Linked DNA regions of Mytilus edulis. The main gene of each other region encodes a partner of the protein of the gene in region 2 in a complex. Links are inferred from orthologs where the notes say so. Each region holds a gene or a part of one and is shown on either strand. Other genes may lie near its edges. The genes, in order: vacuolar fusion protein CCZ1 homolog and vacuolar fusion protein MON1 homolog A-like.

The links.
Region 1: the proteins of vacuolar fusion protein MON1 homolog A-like (region 2) and vacuolar fusion protein CCZ1 homolog are in contact, whole or in part, in a cryo-EM structure (PDB 8JBE), measured with the Drosophila melanogaster proteins. The link is inferred for Mytilus edulis from reciprocal best matches to the Drosophila melanogaster genes Mon1 and Ccz1. Residues at the interface, in NP_608868.1 of Drosophila melanogaster: Trp112, Gln113, Phe120, Leu142, Val145, Ile146, Leu149, Phe152, Val153, Gln157, Asp158, Ala159, Ile160, Thr161, Ser162, Ile163, His164, Ala165, Gly166, Ile168, Phe170, Phe172, Arg185, Arg459, Ser464, Arg465, Pro466, Leu467, Lys468, Leu469; in NP_647835.1 of Drosophila melanogaster: Lys48, Gly51, Leu52, Ile56, Phe59, Thr60, Thr62, Phe63, Thr64, Asp68, Cys69, Gln70, Ala71, Leu72, His73, Thr74, Gln75, Lys76, Thr77, Ala114, Glu115, Ala412, Asp413, Asn416, Pro427, Ala428, Glu429, Glu430, Val431, Gln432.

What each region holds. Positions count from the first base shown.
Region 1 is NC_092352.1:32,879,744-32,890,353, forward strand, and holds the start of vacuolar fusion protein CCZ1 homolog, read right to left. Parts: upstream 3,998-10,610; 5' UTR 3,849-3,997; coding exon 3,612-3,848; intron 3,044-3,611; coding exon 2,946-3,043; intron 1-2,945. Other genes in the region: short-chain dehydrogenase/reductase family 9C member 7-like, read left to right, coding at 5,645-5,885, 6,424-6,621, 10,546-10,610. UniProt on the Drosophila melanogaster protein: Part of the Mon1-Ccz1 guanyl-nucleotide exchange factor complex specific for Rab7 that promotes the exchange of GDP to GTP, converting Rab7 from an inactive GDP-bound form into an active GTP-bound form.
Region 2 is NC_092344.1:78,427,546-78,438,687, forward strand, and holds the start of vacuolar fusion protein MON1 homolog A-like, read right to left. Parts: upstream 5,265-11,142; 5' UTR 5,226-5,264; coding exon 4,920-5,225; intron 3,659-4,919; coding exon 3,498-3,658; intron 2,832-3,497; coding exon 2,393-2,831; intron 1,391-2,392; coding exon 1,215-1,390; intron 1-1,214. UniProt on the Drosophila melanogaster protein: Part of the Mon1-Ccz1 guanyl-nucleotide exchange factor complex specific for Rab7 that promotes the exchange of GDP to GTP, converting Rab7 from an inactive GDP-bound form into an active GTP-bound form.

The DNA.
Region 1 (10,610 bases), on a different chromosome or scaffold from region 2:
ATACACATTTACACTAATTAACCTGATATAAACCAAGTTATTGCCAAAACATAGTTGTTATGGGTGCCACTGTGACCTGGAGAAATTACATAATTTTTTTATAGTTCTAGATCTATGGGAGACAACTCCTGATCAATTTTATTTCCAATATATATATATCTATATATATTTTTCTTCTAATTTTTTTTCAAACAACAATATTATCTATAATTTTCTTTCGTTCTTCAAAAAGGGAGTGCAATAAATCAGATAAGTTTGAAGTAACAAACAAATCTTCAGATGAAAGAATCCAGACAAATTTCATTTCATCAGATAATCTTGAAAATTTTTTGAATTTAGAATTTAAATTAGATAGATGTTGAGATCGAGTATCTTTTAGAACAGGACATTTTAAAAGAAAATGTAGTTCGTCTTCAACTGCATTCTAACATAGCTTACACTTTCTGTCTTCAGCTTTAATTCCAGTATACCTCCCTCTTTCGATTTCAAGATCATGACAGCTAGTTCTAAATCTTGTGATTATTTGCCTGTCTTTTTTTGAATTCATTTTTAAATATGGTTCAAACATAAAAATATTTTCAAATTTTCTGTAAGTTCTTAATTTATTGCCAGATTATAAATTAGTACACTTCCCAAAATTGCTTTCTAAACTAGCTAACCAGCTTTCTTTAAATTTAATAGTTAAAGATGTTTTTACTTTTTATATGGTTTTGTTTAAAGTTTGACTGGTTAACAAATAGATATTCTAAGTCTAGAAATTTAAATATTTTCCTATCCAAGATTCCTGGTTATGTTTGTCCATAGAATGAGATAGATTTATGGCTTCCCTTAGAATACTATTTGAAGGTTCAATATCTTTCATAAGATGGATCCAATATTTTACCATATTCATTATTACATAATACAGTGTAGGGAGTGAACCTGCCATATTTGATGTTTTTATATTAACTCCAAGTGAAAATTTACAAAGCTTAGTATGAATTTTCTCTAGTACAAGATAATCAGTTTCTTTTGATATAAAGTTATCCAAATGTATTTGTTTCTTATGTGGTATATAACCCCAAATTTCAGATCCATACAACAAGATTGGTCGGATTATATGGTAATAGATGTGTAATGAAGTACTAGGTTTTGGGATTTCCACTGAAAAGGTCTTCCTTAATTTGAAATATGCTTTCATTCCTTTGTTATAAAGTTCTTTCTTTGCTATTTGGAAACTCCCAGATGATGAAAAATTTATACCTAAGTATGTGTAGTTCTGTACACATTCTAAAGTCTGGTTTCCTGATGAAATTTTAATATTTTTAAGTCTTCCTGATTTGTTAAATACAAGAACCTTGGTCTTTTTTGTGTTAACTGTCATTTTATAATCAACTGTAAATTTATTTAATTTGTTAACACAATTTTGAAGTCCTTATAGTATATGTATTAACATGTTGACCTCAAATTCAAATGCTGTCTTCTTTGTTGAGGAAGCAAAAAATACAAATTTCAAATATATTTTATTGCTAATCAAAGCGCCCACAAGGAGCAGAACAATCAACATTAATTACATACGAATGATTACAAGTGATTCTATATGATTAAGACACAATGTTATAAAAAAACCCAAAAAAACAACCAAACCAAAAAATATTTATTAAGACAAGTACAAGAATACAACAAGCACAGTGTTTAATAATATAAGGAGGGTCACTGGGCATTTCTATATCTATATATCATTTAAGGAAACTTTCCTATATGAGGATAAATTTTCCAATAATTCTCCGAGTTTCTGGAGTATGAAAGTATCTTCAGAGGACATTAGCCAAATAAATTGTGATTTAATATCTAAACCACTAAAATTTTTAAACCGTTGTTTTATTTCATTTAAAAAGTTGAAACGAATATTTGAAAGTTTGTGGCACTGAAGAAGAAAATGAATTTCATCCTCAACCTCAGTACCGCACAATTTACAGATACGTTCTGACACTGTCATATTTTTGTACCTTCCTCTCTCAATCTCTAAATCGTGAGCACTGATATGGAATTTTGTTAAATAATGTCTATATCTAAAATTTTCCTGCAAAAGGTAATTTTCTAAGCAAAATCTGCTTTTAAAAAGTCTATAAGTTCTGAGCTTGTTACCATATAGTTTATTGCCTCTGAAATCATTATTAAGCTCAGTTTGCCATATTAAATCATATTTTGATTGCATCATATTTTGATACATGCTTTGGTAAGGATCTGATTTATAGGTCAAAAGATTTTGTTAGGAAACAAACCTTTTCCCAGATTTGTTTCCTTCTTAGTGGAAATTACAAGACTAACTTTGGTCAAGATTAGATGTAGGGTTTAGAGGACTATATCAATGGCAAACACTTAAAATGCACCTAAATTTCAGTCTTTTAATCACTGCTGTGATCTTTATCTTGGTCAAGTGACCCTAAAATCAACATGGATCTTTTTCACCCCAAAATCCAATGAAAAATAGTAAACATCTGATTCATGGATTGAAATGTATTGCCCAGTTATCAAACCTTTGCCAAAATTGGCAGTCTATTTGTAGGTGTTGTGACCATGACCTTGATCTGAACCTTGTAATCTAGAGGTCTTATTCTTTGAAAAGGTCATTTTTAAATAAATTAATGAAGTTTGGACATATGGTAGGAAACCAGAATTTGTCCAAATTTCATTCTATCACTTACCCTTTGACCTAGTGATACCAAAATCAAAATCAATAGAAAACTTCTTCAACCTATTGGAAATTCTAGAAAAAGTTTGTTCAAGGTATTGGATAAGGGTCAAAAGTTGTATGGTAATCAAACATGTATGTCTGATCATCATTCTTCAATATTTAACCTAATCATAATTTTTTTAAGCAGAAGAGACATGCAAAAATGCAAGCCTACATGTGTAATTGCTTCAGATATTTAAAAAAAAATAACAATTCAAAATGTACTTACTCAGTAAACTTGCAGATAGCTTCACACAGTCCAATTTGTTTTATCTTAGTATCTATATGGTCATTCTTTGGATAGTAATACATGATCTTTTTCTCTTCCTGAAATAAACATTTTAGCATTATCAAAAAGTTCTGTTTGACAATGTTTGAGTGGCAATTCTTGACATATCATTTTTTTTTATCTAAGAAATCATTGCCATGGTTTTAAAATAAAACATGGAAAATTTTAACTTTTAGTGTTGATAAACTGAGAAAGTCAAATAAGTAGGACACACTCTACATGTAAATGCGAAATTTTTAAGTTTATAGTTTTTTATGCAACTTACATTAACATAGTGTATTCAAATTATATAAATTATGTATACCAAGACATCAAAATGAAATAGAATAAGGGTGAACAGATACTAGGGTGACTTGAATTAGGGTGAAGGGTGAGTTGTTAATGTCTGTGTCATTTGGTCTCCTGTGGACTGCAGTTGTCTCATTGACAATCATACCACATCTTCTATTTTATATGCCCAGGTCTTATTCTCAATATTGGTACATATATTCTGCACATTTCATTTTTGTTTTTTATATGGAGTCTCAGCTAAGAATATGAATTATCAAAAGAGTGTATATTCTTAAATAACCAAGGCACAATACCTTGTACTTTGTATAAACTTACATCACCCTCTCTTGGTCCATATTCTGAATTGAATACAAAGAAATTAATCAGGCTTATTCCTCCTTTAACAGCCATGCTTTTGTTATGATTTGGTGTGCTGTTATGTTTTATTTCTTGGTCGCTTGATTTTCTACTAGTTGGCCTTTGACTATGCTTAGTAAAAATGTTTGACAACTTATCACTGTTGCAACAACATGAAGTGGAAATTTCTTGTTTCTCGTTAAAATATTCATGCATTAATTAATGCAGGTTTGTGATCCAGAAAATACAATTGTCAAAATCATTAATGCCTCTGATGAAAGTCATTTTCTAGCCTAGCAGACTTCAAAGTTTACTCCTACTTCACAACTCTACTTTCGATTTAACAGGAAGTCCTTTTCTAGTCTATTTCCGGCTACTTTCACTTGGCACTTTGTATGGTTCGATATTGAGGACGATAGGCCATCATAGGGTGATTATTTTGTAAAAATGTAAAGTATTTACATAACTATCAAAAACACAATTTTCATAGAATGAAATATGAAATATTCAAGTTTCATAGAGTTATGAACATCATTATACTATAAGACGTCATAATTCTTTGTATTGGAATGCAAATATTTTAACATTTCTTTGTTAGCTCAGTTCATCATAACCTTTTTGCTAAAATATATGTCAGTATTTACACCCTAAATTTAACTCTAAGTACAGACAAACCTTTCCACCCGGAGAAGTTTTAAGGCATGGCAGGATACCCAAATTGCACCTATTTAGAAAAAATATCAGTGGATATCTTACAAGATTTCCTAGAGACTAAACAATTTGCATTTTTATGATTTGATACTATGCACGTCTTTCAACATATGTAAAGATATTTAGATATACACAAAACGTTCACAGTATTTATCAACAGATGAAGTGTTTACTGAAAAAGCAAAATGTACGGAAACGTCGCCATGCGACATCATTAAAACGTCATCTTTTTTAAATTAACAAAAACAATATGTTACAAGTATCCATTTCTTAAAAAAATAAGACTAAATATGGACTAATATCCAATTGTTCTAAATAATTGAAAAAATAAAACAAAACATTTGTTATTCGATTTTTAATGATGTAAATTTAAGCATGGATGCAATTTGGGTACTCCTCATTACGAAATCATGAATAGTTTGGAGGTCGATTCAAACCTATGACTCAATATGGATTAAAAATCAAATTGGTGTACTTTTATAATAAAGAAGGATACAGCTACAAAATAAACACAGAGTGGACATTTTTGTCTTGATCATAAAAAAACGTAGGAGAAAAAACTGTCAAAATAGGTGCAATTTGGGTACCGTCAGGTTATGCATTTTATGTTTCAGAAAATTATAACCTTTTATGGATTTTGCTATTCAGTTTTTTCATTCCTGAAAAAGGTGCAAAAATAAACTAAGTTTGGGAAAAGTTTGAGAATCTCCTCTCATATAATCAAAGTTGTATGTAGTATTGATCTAAATGGACAATAGATGGACAATAGACATTGCAAACAAGAGGTGATTTAAACTGTGTAACTGAGTTGACTGTATCGAATGAAACTTGTGTGTTTGTTTATTTTGCTATCTTCTGCAGACTGTAAAAAAAGGCACATCAAAATCCAGGTAAAAGTTTTTAATTTTCTGAAACATAGACTACTTATAACTTTTATATATCTAGGTCCTGCCATGCCTTAAAACGTTCCTAGATGCATCAGTTTGTCTGTATTCATAGTAGATTTTGTGATGTTAACGCAGCCATTTTCAATTTCTTTTGATGAACCTTTACAGTGTTCATTAAAATGTATAACAAATGGACAAACATGACTGTTGGTACACCTACAAAATTACTCTGTGCTGTGCAGTGCAGTTGGAATTTTTTTAGCTTTCGCTAGTCAATGCTAATTATTCAAAAATTAAATACATTGTGTGCTTCAGTAAGATTAAACAGATCAATTCTAAGAAAACTCATTCTGCAGTTGTTAAACATGTGTATTGATTAATTACAGAGAGCAGTATAAGCTACAAGCTATCAGAATGGACAGCATAAGAAGTTACTTAGGAATGGGAATCAAGAAGTTCATAGGATTCCAGGCTTTTGAACTGACTTATCTGGGAGTATTGGCAGTGCTACCATTCATTATAGTCCAACCATTCATAGCCAAAACAATACTGTTTGTGGCTTTTCTCATTATACTAAATGTAGTGTATCAGAAACTTACCTTCAGACGAATAAACACAGAGGAAAAATATGTCTTTATAACTGGTTGTGATACAGGTAATAATGTAATAGGAAAACAAACATGACAAAGGATATATGGGATCCATTCAATGCAGAGCAAAAGAAGATGGGTTGATAGTCTCTGGTTATTGACTTTTCAAACTTAAGTAATATCAGGTAGATTTGGACCATACTTGTATTTTAGAATTATAATAATTCTTATGGTAATATGGTATAACATACAACTAGTGCATTGAATTAAATGACAATTTTAATGATATTCACACTGAAAAGTTGGTCGTCTAATATAGACGGAACAGTACAGACTAAAGTAAAGTAAAAGTAATTATGATCAATTGCTTAATATTGTGCCTTATGAACATTAAAATTGTTACTGATAAAAAATAACATTTAAACCAAATTCAAAGGATACTATAAATTACTGTATGTATTTCTCCTCTTCATGTTAGTAAATTAAGGCGAACTCAAAAGTGGTGTCATGAAGTTATTCCAAACTTTCAGGATTTGGTTGTTATTTTGAAAGCATTGAGAAAAGAGTTTTTATCTTGTTTTTTTGGTAACTTTATCTTAAAAGGTTTTGGGAATGCTGTGGCTCGTCGTTTATCAGGAGAAGGATTGTCTGTGTTTGCTGGGTGTTATAATCCAGATGGTAAAGGAGCCAGTCAACTTAGATCAGAGTACAGTAGTATACAGATAATAAAACTTGATATAACAGATGATAATTCTGTTGACCAGGCTTTTGCTGAGATAGAGAAGAAAGTCAAAGATAAAGGTATTTACATGTATATATATATGACAAATTGATATCAGCATCATAAGCAGAAACAGGAAGACACAATGCCACAAAATATTTGAACAGAATTTCAATGATGAAGTTAAAGTTAGAACTGTTTTTGGTCTGTCAAACTTTAACTACATGTAGCAAATTGATGTTCATTCCTTAGAAATTTCGGGTGCAATGATAAATGATACTCTTAGTATCAGTCTTTTATTTAAGCCAAATTAAATAATTAATAGACAACTCCTAATTGTTAAGCTGCATAAATAACAGAAAAGGAAAATGATGGGTTTGAAATGTTACATGTACATGTGTGTTTTGTTGAATACCTGTAAGTGGATTAATTCTTCCTCAATGAATTACTATGCATTTGTATCTGTGATAAAATGAGGTAAATTTTTAACCAATTTATGACAACTATATCCCTGTTGTAAAATATTATCTTGTTACTAATGGAACTTATATACTTTCATTGTTTTCTTTATAGATGTCATTGCAAATTTTCATATAAAACTACAAACTCTAACTTTATCTTTTACTACCAGGTTGTATATATTTTTGTTGAGCCTTCGACTTATGTCGAAAAAGTGAGATATAGCTTTCCTACATTCTGTTGGTGTCGGCGGTGGCGGCGTTCACAAATATTCACTCTGTGGTTAAAGATTCCTGTTTTTCCGTATTTTACTTATAAATGGACTTAATTTTTCTGCAAGGAAACATTACTTTCACTCTGTGGTTAAAGTTTTTTAAGTTTTAATAACCTCCTTAAACTGGCCTGGATTTCTACCAAACTTGGACAGAAGCTTGTTTATGATCTTAAGATAGTATCCAGAAGTAAATTTTGTAAAAAAAAATCCTGTTTTTCCGTATTTTACTTTAAATGGACTTAGTTTTTCTGCCAGGAAACATTACATTCACTCTGTCATTAAAGTTTTTAAAATTTTAATAACTTTCTTAAACTAGCCGCTAATATCAGTGAAAATACACCTACTTCATGTAATTGTAGTAATTCCACATACATTTATGGACCCATTTCCCATGTTATAACAGGAGATCTTAATATCGTTCAAGACTGAGAGTTAAAATCATTCCTCAGTAAAGGACCTAAATATCGTCCCCCGTCAGTTATTAATTGGAATGAATTTCGTAATATCATCCACGACTCACTCCGTACTTACTGTTTGAAATGGATAAAACGGGAAAAAGCTGACAAAAAATCTTTGGACTCTTTCTTTAATTCAGTAATGAACATAGTTGATATACATATTCAACATTTTAAAGAACATTTTATTATTAACAATAACCACAATAAACCTAATTCTCGTATCAAACATAAACTAAAAGAACTAGCCAAGGAATTTGTTTTTTTCCCGGCCGATAAAGCTGCTAATAATATTGTTATTGTTTGACGTAAATTTTACATTGAGGTTCTGAAAAAAGAAATTACCAATTCACCAACATTCCAACTGACTCCATTTTCAGAAATCGACATCTGTAACAAACATAAACTTTTAGCTACCCCTTTACAAGCAGAACTGAATACAATGAAAGTCCCTACTATGTATTGGCTTCCGAAGCTACACAAAACACCTTACAAATATAGATTTATTTCGTCTTCAAGCCATTGTTCCACTACTAAATTGTCTATTCTTCTTACCAGTACACTTGGTACAATCAAAAACCTGATAATAAATTGTTCAAATAAGGCCTTCGAAAATAGTGGAATTAATTACTTTTGGAGTGTCAAGAACTCGTTGGAAGTACTTGATAAATTGCATGCTTATATTGGTGATTTTGAATCTGTTCAAAGTTTTGATTTTTCTACCCTGTATACCACATTGCCTCACATTCTCATTAAGAAAAAATTCACCCACCTAATTAAATGGGCATTTAAAAAGTCAGAATGTGAATATATATGTTCAAACTCTTTTAGGTCATTTTTTAGTAGCAATAAACAAAAAAACTATGTCAATTGGACATGCTTTGATACTATATATGCCCTTGAATTTTTACTAGATAACATTTTTGTTCGCTTTGAAGATTCTATATATCGTATGGTTATTGGAATTCCAATGGGGACTAACTGTGCACCACTTATTGTGGACCTGTTTTTGTATTGCTATGAGTTACAATTTATGACAAAAATCAGCAAAGACCCATCGAAACAACATCTCATAAACAAATTTAATAATACTTTTAGATATGTGGATGACATTTTGGCTCTCAATAATGACGACTTCAGTATGTATACTAAAAAAATTTATCCTGTTGAACTTACTTTAAATAAAGCTAATACTAACAATGACCACTGCCCTTTTCTCGATCTTGATATCTATATCACTAACGGAAAGCTGAATACTAAAATTTATGATAAAAGAGATGATTTTTCATTTCCTATCGTTAATTATCCATTTTTAGATGGTGACGTTCCATTGTCACCATCTTACGGTGTTTATATATCTCAACTTGTACGATTCGCTCGTGTATGTAACAATGTTTTAGATTTTAACGAGAGAAATTTATGTATTACTGAAAAATTATTACACCAGGGTTTTCGATATCACAAACTAGTCAAAACATTTACTAAATTTTATCATCGGTATAAGGACATCATTCGTAAATATAGCTCAACATGCAGACTTCTTATAAGTTCAGGTATTTCACATCCAATTTTTTATGGAACTATTCTTTATAAAGCACAAAAATGTCAGTATTCACCTCAGAAACTAACAAAACCTTTAAATAGACTTATCAAGAAGGGATATAGTTACGATACTGTTGTCAGGTCACTAAAGATTGCTTATTTTGGCGTTAATATTGATTCACATATAGGGTCTTTGCATCGGAACTAAACACATTTATTAAAAAACCAGTTGTTGGCATGACACGGGTTATGTTCTTCTCATATATGTTATGATGGTATGATACTAAACCCCTAACAGGAAGGATTGTGCCTGATATTCATAAGATGAAATCATAACCTTTCAATCAGTTTAATTGAAGTCTGGAGCTGGCATGTCAGTTAACTGCTAGTAGTCTGTTGTTATTTATGTATTATTGTCATTTTGTTTATTTTCTTTGGTTACATCTTCTGACATCAGACTCGGACTTCTCTTGAATTGAATTTTAAATGTGCGTATTGTTATGCATTTACTTTTCTACATTGGCTAGAGGTATAGGGGGAGGGTTGAGATCTCATAAACATGTTTAACCCCACCGCATTTTTGCGCCTGTCCCAAGTCAGGAGCCTCTGGCCTTTGTTAGTCTTGTATTTTTTTTAATTTTAGTTTCTTGTGTACAATTTGGAAATTAGTATGGCGTTCATTATCACTGAACGAGTATATATTTGTTTAGGGGCCAGCTGAAGGACGCCTCTGGGTGTGGGAATGTCTCGCTACATTGAAGACCTGTTGGTGACCTTCTGCTGTTGTTTTTTCAATGGTCGGGTTGTTGTCTCTTTGACACATTCCCCATTTCCATTCTCAATTTTATTGATTTGTACCAAACTTGGACAGAAGCTTGTTTGTGATCAAAAGCTAGGATCTACAAGGAAATTTCCTTAAAATTTTGTACCTGTTTTCATATTTTATTTAAGAATGGACTTAGTTTTTCTTCCAGTTATCATTACATACAGTCTGCAGTTAAAGTTTTTAAAACATTTATTAGATTCATAAACTATCCTGGATTTTTACCAAACTTGGACAGAAGCTTCTTTCAATGTAAAGATAGTATCTAGGGGATTATTTTATTAATTTTTTCCTCATTTTTGTTGAGCCTGCGATTAAAAGCAAAAGTAGGCAAGACACTGGGTTTCGTGGAACCCTTACAAATTTTTCTACAATTTGTTGTATATTATAGTGCAATCTTTTGTATTGTATATAGACTGATGTATATTTTGAGGATTCTGCATTTTAACAGGATTATGGGCCTTGATAAACAATGCTGCTGTGTATGGTGTTGGAGATGTAGAGTTCTCTCCTCTA
Region 2 (11,142 bases):
AAAGCGTTGTTGCAAGGTTTCTTAACATGCAAAGAGTGTGGTACTCTCTTAACACGAGGCATCGGATTTAACGTCCCCCTTCTGACCGGACGTGACTGCGAACTTGATACATCCCGCACAGCCAAACGGGCGCCCCACTTCAGCAAGCGTTTTACTGCCGGTCGGGAGAAGACCAAGTGACCATATTTCTATACCCCAGTCACCCTTGGGAAAATAACTACATGTGAAGCTGATGATAATAGTGATAATATCTTACATCTAAATATAATATGTGTGCTTGAAGAAAACTACTGGAATATACCAAAAACAGTTTTATTGACATAATAACTACCAGTAATTGTAAAGCTTATAAAATACTGAAAATGTTTAATTTAAATTTTCTGTTCCAATGTTTTGGAAATTATTTCAATATAAGAAATGTACCTCTATCATCACGCTTGTACATAGCTCTAATTCTTGTCTGATTTAACTATTTTCATTTTACCGATATTTGATTCTGAATTCTATAATTTTCCAACATATTCCCCTCTAAGTGGTAAGACATCCTGGTACTCGGTCATGTAAGAGGTGTTCGGAAACCGTGTTCCCTACTTAGAGGTAAGACATCCTGGTACTTGGGCATGTAAGGGGGACATAAATAAGTAAAACCATGCTTATGTGTGGAGAATTAACTGTTTGATGTTTTATATACACAACAAAATCATCAGAAAACAGTTATTTCCCCCCTAAAATTGAATCAGTTGTTATTAGATTATGTTTGTTTTGATTGCTCTTGCTTGACTTAGTATCAGGATGTTTTACAACAGAGTTGGGAACTTGAAAAAAAAATTATATAATTTAGAGTTAAATGTCGGTAATATGAAAAAAAGGCTATTTGTTGTCACATTTGCAATCATACCACATCTTCTTTTTTATATTTACATTAATTAGGCAGTTAGTTTTCTCATAAGGATTGTTTTTATTTACATTTGTCATTTTGGACCCTTTTATAACTGACCATGGGGCTTTGCTCATTGTTGAAGGTCAAACAGTGACCTAGAATTGTTAATTTCTCTGTCATTTTGTCTCTTGTAAAAGACTGTCTCATTTGCCATCATACCAAGTCTTCTTTTTTATATTTAGTTCAAAAACTTTATAAGATAAAACCAAAGGAATCCACATTTTAGATGGCTTGTAGAAGAAAACTCTTTACAAGAGATTTCTGTTTTACTCACCTTGCATCAAATTTTGGCAGACATATTGGTGTCCAAGACTCAGCAGCTTTGAAAGACTCGGAGGCATTCACAAGGTTAATGATTAAATGGAGATCCATTGGATGCAAGAAATATTTTTTCATTCGTACCAGTGTCACTAACTGATTGTTTGCTAAAATAATCGCAAAAACTAAGTCCTGAAATCATCCAAAAATAAATAAATAAACAAAATTTATACCATGTATAATCTAAAAATGCAATCAAAGCCATATATATATCCTCAATTAAAGTAGATTAAAATATGCCAATTTAATTTGTCTTCTCCAGTGTACTGTGAATGTTTATTTTTATCTTTCATAAACAATTCTATTTGGAATAGGGATTCTTGTGGATTTGTCTAACTGCGTCATTCGGTTGCTGTGTCTCATTGGCAAATACATGTACCAAACTATCTTTTTTTTCATTTTCACTTTATACATTTGTAATATTCTTTTTAATGAATTAAAAAATAAGACATTTCTTCCTCTTAACTATCATTAGTTCAAAAATGTTTTTTCTTGTTTTGTCAGTCAAACTAAATGGAATTGACAAAACTTGTGTTTTATTAGTATTGCCCAGCCTGTTAGGAAACCCTGCATGTTTTACTGGGTATAGATAATATGAAATACTGGCCTGAATCTTTAGTAGGATTTAGAGATCAATTAAAAATACAATACACATATAATATACAAGGAGACTTAATCTTATGTTGCTTTGATTAAAAAACTTATCATATGCATTCTGTAGTGCATTTATTTGAGAAAATAGCCCTCAAGACATACATGAAATAGTCTTATTTTCCGTTCATTCTTGCGCCCCTCCCCCTTTATCCCTAAATAAATTAAAGTGCCTTTGTACTAAAGTATGTCATGTATTTTCACTATGATGTATTCTTACATCCCTTTATCATTTGTTTTCTTATAATGCTTTATTATAAATATTAGTTATCAAAATAACCCTTTCTTTGGCCATTGTGGACTAATATTTAATGTTTAACAAAAAATATAATGTACATGTACATGTAGTACTAGTACATAAATATTTTGAATGTCCAATGTAAACATACAAATTTTGTTTACATTTTGTAACTGGAGCTAAAATTTTGTATAACTCGAGCTACATGTACAATGGTAGTCGAACTGTTGTACATCAATTCTTACCTTAACTCTTGCATGTTGAATTATACTTTGAGCAATGCTATCTCTAACGGGGCTATCTAAAGGCAGACATCGTACTGCTTGAAGTTTAAAACTAGGGTCATGGTCCATTAAATTCAATAGATTGTCAATAAATTTTTCGGATCCACTCAACATTCTCCGCAAATCATAATTTCTCCTCTGTTTGAAGATTTTTTGTAATGAAGTAAATGTAAGTACACTAAGAATTTGATTATAAATATATGATAGTTGTAGTACAAGTTGTTGGACTGATTCCAATCCTTTTGATACCGCAACAAGGTAAATATGTTCTCGAACTAAGAACACAAACTTATGATCTCCAGCAACAATACTACGCATTGAGTCTTTAGCTGCAGACACAAATGATATCAAAGCTTGAAGAACTCCCATAATTGTCACCAGTTTATCTTCCTGACCATGCCTGTATAAATAAAACTTTCAATATGAATTTTAATGTGAAGATATTAATCTTATAGCACTAATTAAATACATAATCATTGATAATACGAAAATACACAAAATTACACAGAAATATAATATGCTAGATGGTTGTAAAAATTCTTAACAAGACAATTTTCAGATATTTCTTTTCAAATGCTGTACAAACATTTCACTTGCAGAAAATAAAGATTTTTAAAGTCTTTATTTTGAACTTTTTACATGGGAAGTTCGGGACCCTGGAAAGCCATAGAATAGAATGAACAGATATTAATTGACAGCAAGTTTTTAAAATGTCTGAATACAACAGAAAATTTTATATACTTTGTAATAATACATGTTATCAGGTTAGAAAATCATTGGGACTTGTCATTTTTGCCATGGCGAGTATTAAAGTGTGAAAATCAAATTTTATTGCTATAAAATTTTTTTTTTAATTTCTCCATGACAAAAAAGCAAGGAAATGAAAATAACTTTGGATTATTTTGAAACCAATTTAGTGTTAAACTCTTTCTCTTCCCCTAATGTGATGATCCCTCCATGTTGATACAGATAACTTTTATCTATTGCTAAATCATTTGAACAGAAAAAAACATGCATATAACAATAAATTTTCTGATTTATATCCTATCTATAAAATATCTATTACCGTGAGTAAATAGGCTTTCCAGAACTACTTAGTATAAAAATATGCTTCTTTTCCAGTTGCCACTTGGACCCTTTTCCATACTCATCTTCTTCAATTTCTTCTATAGGGTCAGACTCTTTCAAAACCACATCATTCAAAGCTGCAGATAAATCTTTTGGAATCTAGTAAAAAACATGAAAAATAAGAAGGATTAGCTTATTTAACTGTATTGGTACATTTTGTACAGGTATGTATACATTCATCTGTCTTTGACAAATGTTTGCACACAAAGGTATTGGATAAGACCACTTCATTTTTATTTTGACAATTACTTTTTTCCACTATCATCATGATTATTGTAAATTTAGATGACAGAAATCATTGTGAGGTTTTCATAAATGGGAATAATGTGATTGAATGAGTATCACAATAATAAACCTCACATTCTGATATCTAAAAGTACAACTGTATGCAGATTTTCCTGAAACTGCAACAAATAATCTTGCATTTTAGTCCATTCTTCATAATTTTTTGCAATAATAAATGCACTCAATAATTTCTGCAATTTTTAGGCATTACACTTATCTGTAAAAATACATAGACTTTCTACCCATTGCCAATTTTCAAAAGAATTTCATTGATTTGCATATATAGTTTAATTATAAGTTACACCACTGTGAAAATGATAAACCAAAAAAAAAAAAACAATATCAAAATGGGAATGTGTCCATGGGACAAAGATGAACCACTAAAAAAAAAACGGTTAAAGTGACGCTATCAATTTGTAAAAGAGTATAACTCTAGAACGGTTGAAGTACCACCCGAATACTGCCTTGATTTATACTTCAATAAGCTTTGTGTAAATGTTTCATAGCATTTGCCAAATTAGTTGTGGCAAACTTAAGTTAGAGACAGAATAAAAAAACAATTTTTTCATTTGTAAAGGGGCATAACTCTAGAAAAATAAAAGTGCCACCCCCAAAATAAAAACTTTATCTGTATTTTGTGGTAATTAGTTTCATAACATTTGTTTGAGGCAATCTAAAGTAAGAGAACGGAAACAAACTTTGGAACGTACAGACAGATGTAATTATGGACGTTCAGTTGGACAAGGGTAGAACTTTAAAATGCCCCCCTCCGCTATGGCACTGCACTGTATAGTCCAAGAACATCAGAATAATCTCGGACTATGCCCTGTATTATGTGTATTGATACAAAATGTATGTTTTTGTTTTAAATGTGGTATTATAGTATACATCAAGAACAGTTGTAAGTTTGGCATTAAAATCTTAAAATCGTTTTGGAACTCATGGTCTTGGAACCAACAGATATTACATGTATATCTGATCATTTATAAACAGGAACATTGTTTTGGACCTAATGGACTTAAAAATTGTGGCTGTACACAAATATTAATATTTCGTGACATGAGATGATAATGACCTCATTGTGATCTTCACTTGATTCTTCACCAGTGGATGTGTCATTGTGTTCTGAGGAACTGTGTTCGTCCTGAGATCCAGAACGAACAATGGCGTGAATGACACCACTTGGATGGCTGTCATAATCTTCGTTGACCAGATCGTCGTAATTTATATCCACAAAGGTATCTGCTGCCACAAGAACTGCGTTCTTTATTTCTTCTGATGCAGGTTCTACAAAATCGTCTTGATCAGAAGCAGAAGCGGAGTCTGGATTTCGCACTGAAGGGGGCACCTGTTCCGCCTCTTTGCCCTCTGACTCGTCCATAGCCAGGGTTCATTATTTGAGATCACCGAAAATGACTTCCGGTTTATAAAATATTTTTGATGTTGTATGCTTTAAATCTGTAACATAGTTTACAGTGTTTGCAAAACTTCTGATTTGTCATATAAATACATTCTTGATATTCGAGAGTCTCAATAAACTTTTTCAAAGAATGGCATATCATTATTCTAAATATAAGGGGAACAAGTGTTAGCTGTCCAAAAAGCTTGTCTGGCTTTAGCTTTCATGATTGTATAGACGTTACGCGCGATGTTCGTACATGTAAGCGTTACCGTAACACAACGTCCCGAATATGTCGTAACGTTCAAACCGAAAATTTGACTGAAACGTTGTTTTTAAGCAAGTGCGACATTCTTGTAAGAATCCGCAAAATCATCGACGGTGCTTTTTAACTACCCATCGAAAATTGATGTATTTTAGTTTCTTGAAAATTTAAGAAAAATAACATTTAAAAAAATCATAAAATTCTACCATTATAAGAGCAGTGATAAGCAAACAATTGACGTAAATTTGAGTTGAGTTCGTTTTTACGTCAGAAAATGGCGATGCGACAAACTTGTAAGCCTTTGAAAAATAGCTCATAAATTACCATATATCATTTTTCAGGATATTTGTCTTTAAATTCATAAAATTAAGCAAATTAACATTGATGTAGTAAATACAAATACTAAACTTTTTTCATTTTAGATAAATGTTTTTTGATTCTCAAATCTGGAATTCCAATTTTTTCCCCGCGGGACAGATTTGCCCTTGTAGTATGGAACGCGGTTTTTTCTATGACGTCATCATAACGTCATAAAAAAATGCATAAAAGACTGAAGGAACCATTCTGTTTAATTATGGAAAAAAAAAACGTTTTTCAAAATATTAAATAGTTTTGACCGCAAAATCATAGTTTAGACTAATAGTGGTTACAATAAATGAAATATGTTACGCGGGACAACCTAAAAATCGCCGTTTTTTTTAAATGAAGCTTGTCGCATGCAACATAAAACATAGTTTCAACAATTATTTGTTTCGTTTTTATTTTAAAAATCGTTATTTTTTAAAATACGTACAATAGCAATGAATATGATATCACACAATTATATATTTTGGACTTGCATCTTGCCAACTACACCGACTGAATTTCCAATGAGGTACGAATATCGTGCGTAACGTCATAGCAAAAACATTAGTTATATCTGGGACATACTTTACTAGTATACTAGTCCATGCTTTGAAGACTGCAGTAAAGGTTTGCTTAGAGTGTGGGTTAGATTGAGATTGTCTATTGGTATGCAAATGACATTATGTAACACATTATAAGAAATTAAGTTAGATCATAAGTGACATAATGTCGCAGTGACAACAGATAGCTTATGTTTGAAATTCTAAAAAGTTCGGCTTTGACGTAGGAGCATATTGTAAAATAATTCTTATAGTCCCCCAAAAAGGGCTTGTGTAAAGTAAGTCTTACTGTACAATCATTGCTAGTCAAGTTCCCCCCCCCCCCCCCCCCCAAAAAAAAAAAAAGACTGCTACTTCATACTAATTTGATCAAAGTTCTAAGTTCTTTTATTTTCCAATCAAGGCTCCCTGACGGGACATAATGACAACAATACACAATATATCACATTCATAACTACACATAAACATATTGATAAAAATAGAATTAAAATCTTACATTCATAACACATAAACATATTGATAAAAATAGAATTAAAATCATCACAAATAGTGGATGAGATTACCATGTCTATCATAGAATATATATGATACATATAATCTGGGAACAGTATATTTATGTTCCTGATATAATCATACAAAATATGATCACAACATAAAACATGTTACTTACAATTATATATTTTTTTTATAAATCAGTTAAGTTTTTTCTCGAGTTTTTTCAAAGTTTCATATCTTTAATATCATATACTGTTATTCCAGGATCATGAAATTTTTCTGTCTTTTAATGGTTGTTTCTTACATTGACGAGCTAACAATTATTGGAAACAATAAAACTTGTTTCACAATATTTGTGATTTTACTTATTTCTACTTGAACTTTTAATCTTGAACACATTGGAGTTGTATAGCTTATCATTTATACATATTTTATTTGTAACTAAAAACTACAATTGCATGCTTGAAAATTAAGTTATAGATATTTCATATCTTTAGGATAGTTTTGTGGTGTTTCGTAAAATATATCATAGCTTTTGTTGAAAGCCTCGGCCTTATTATACTTAAGTCTGCCTTCATAAGTTTAATAAAAACGGTATAGGTTAATGTTATGTTACTTTTTTAATTGAATTCAGACTAGTAAGTAAATGCTAGAAATTAATCATGAAAGATCACAGGAACGAATAATTTAAATTGTTTATAATATTATTGATACGCTGTTTAATGTTTTGTTTTGGGTTCTTAATGGTAATACATAAACCAATTGGGAAAACAATGATGTATTAATTATGCACAGTATAACTGTTACAAAAATCCGAAATGAAACAATTCGCAGTCATAGCAGGAAATTAACTTACATTTCTTCAAAAAAAAATAATAGCCGTCTGTTATATATATATTTTTAAGAGATTATTGTTTGGAGACCACTAAAAGAAAGTTTATCATTCAACTTATATATAATTTACACAATGATTTTATGATTAATGAAAAACGATAGATTTCAGTAATTTGTGGACCCACATTTTAGAGGGTCAAGATAATCGTGATAAATTTCAGGTATACATATATCCTTTACTTCCGATGTCATCATGGTGTAAATATAATTTATAATTTGTACAAATAGATACAATTAATACTTACTTTCATTGCATATATTTTGATACAGAAAAACCTTTATATTACCCGTATTTATTTCCTTTTTTGTGGTTTTTTTTTGGTAAACCAACTAAAACGTATTTTATCATTTACATGTAATCATTGTACAGTGGTTGTCGTCAGTTTATGTAGTTCATACGTGTTTATCGTTTCTCGTTTTTATATAGATTAGACCGTTGGTTTCCCGTTTTCGGAATGGAAAGGGTGACTGGGGAATAGAAGTATGATCACTTGATCTTCCTCCGACCGGCAGTAAAACGCTAGACAAAGTGGGGCGTCCGTTTGGCTGTGCGGGATGTATCAAGTTTGCAGCCATGTCGAGTCAGAATGGGGACGTTAAATCCGATGTCTCGTGTAAAGAGAGTGCCACGCTTTCTGCACGTTAAGAACCCTTGCAACACCTCTTTGAGGGGTCCGTAGGTGGCCTGTTGCAAGGCAAAATTTCTGTCCACTATACCCTCATTTCCCAGACCATCATCTCGGACGGCTTCTATTCAGTACAAGACCTACCTATTGTTTTTATTGTTAACCTGTTCTAGCCCTGACCATGCATGAAATATTTGCCACTGGACGTTAAGCAACCAGCAATCAATCAATAAACCGTTTGAATGGTTTTACACTAGTAATTTTTGGGGCCCTTTATAGCTTGCTGTTCGGTGTGAGCCAAGGCTCCGTGTTGAAGGCCGTGCCTTGACATATAATGGATTACTTTTATAAATTATTACTTGGATGGAGAGTTTTCTCATTGGCATTCATGCCACATTTTTATATACCTATATATTATACTAATATTCGACAAATATCCCATTCTTTCAACCTAGGCATCATTAAAAGTGTCTCTATCGACCCTTTCATATTACAACATCTGCTATACCACAGTAGAAACTCCCTGTTTCGGCCCTTCTTTACTTATAACGTAATTTCCAGCTGATATGATCCCTCCATAAAGGCACACAAATAGAGGATACCAAAGGGACATTCAAAGTCCGAGTCGAAAATAAACTGCCAACGACATGGCTAATAGACAAACAGACAAATAGACACACAGACACACAGACACACAGACACACAGACAAACAGACAAACAGACAAACAGAAGTACTTTAACAACATAGAAAACCAAAACTTTGTAACACCACCTGCTGATTTGATCACTACCCCTTGGCACCATAGAAAGAATCTATCTCTATTTTATGGTTTTTAAGATGATAGGCAAAAACGTGTAATGTTGGTAAAAATCGTCATTAAGGAGTAAATTCTCCTACAAGGAGTAGACTGATGATTTCGGATTTTTGGCCTATTTGTAGATCGTGAGTCTTGTTGACCATATGTGCTTATTTGTAGATCGTGTGTCTTATTGACCATATTTGCTTATTTGTAGATCGTGTGCCTTGTTGACCACATTTGCTTATTTGTAGATCGTGTGTCTTGTTGGCCATATTTGCTTATTTAAGGTTCTATCTATCTATCATTTTTTTCAGATAAACAACAACAACAACAACAACAATACTTTATTTTAAGAGGGTTACACAGTTAGCTATATAACTAATCTTCCCTGAGGCCCTCGTAATGAAAAATCAAACAAAACACAAACATATACTAGTACATTGCATACATACATTAGCATAAAAAGTCAAGTGTGATAATAATGTTCAATACAACTTGATAAAATGTGATGAAAAAATAAACATGATGACATGATCAGTTTTTTATATTATTTATACAGCTAGGTTGATTTCAATAAATGATCTGTTATTTTGTATTTGAAAGAATTAATATTTGTAATATTTCTTAACGGTATTGGCAAATTATTCCACAAGAATGGTCCAGAATACATAAAAGATTTTTTGAATAATTCTGTTTTTGGTTTAGGGAGTATGAGGTTTCCTTGAACAGCATTTCTCAAGGGGTACGGATTTCTGTCTGAAACATAATGAAACTTGTTAGTAAGATATGATGGGGCATCATTATTAATACACTTAAATGTCATCACTAACTTATGATATTTTATTCTCTGTTCAACTGTCATCCAGTTTAAGTGTTTGAATAAGGGTGCAGAAGGAGCGAATGGGTCTGTTTCTAGTATTAATCTAGCAGCCCTCTTTTGTAATTTTAATATCCTTTTTAAACCCTCACTGCTACAACTACTCCACACTATACAACAATAATCAATAAGTGGCAAGATATAACCATTATAGAATAATTTTCTGCAGTCTAGATTTAGAAATTTTTTAATCTTTAATAGTAGATATAGTCTAGATGATATTTTTGAGCAGATCAAGTCAATTTGGGTTGTCCATGTGAGGGAAGGGTCAATTTTAATGCCTAAAAGACTTTCGCATGTGGAAGATTGTATCACTTGATTGTTAATAGTTAAACAACTCTCATTGTAATGTGGCATTGCTCTTTGCTTCGTTCCAATAATCATATATTTTGTTTTATTTTTATTGATGAACATATTGTTATCATTGCACCATGCCTCTACACCATGTAAATCTTCTTGTACCTTTGACTGAAGAGTTTGATAACAATTACCAGAAAGATGTAAGGTTGAATCGTCGGCATATAAATCAGTGCAACAATTTTTCATATAAATAGGAAGGTCGTTGATGTATAATATAAACAGAAGGGGGCCTAATATGGAGCCTTGGGGAACACCATACTTGATATGAAGTTTTTCAGAATGAGCATTACCAATTTGTACTTGTTGAGTTCTTTCATTCAAATACGATTGAAAAAAAAGAAACAGCAGTATTATCAAATCCATAAATTTCAAGTTTTTTACAGAGGATATCATGATCTACTACATCAAAAGCTTTCTTAAAATCCAACAGGACTGCTAAGTTGATATTACCATCATTCATATCCTGTATCCATTTATCTATGATATTGATAAGGGCAGTTTGGCAAGAGTGTTCTTGTCGAAACCCAGACTGTGCTGGGTGTAAAAGATCTAATCTTTTAAGATAGGCAAACAAATGTTTTGAAACATGCTTTTCTAAAAGTTTTGATAAAACTGGAAGTACAGAAATTGGTCTATAATTTGTTGCCATGAATTTTTCACCAGCTTTAAAAACAGG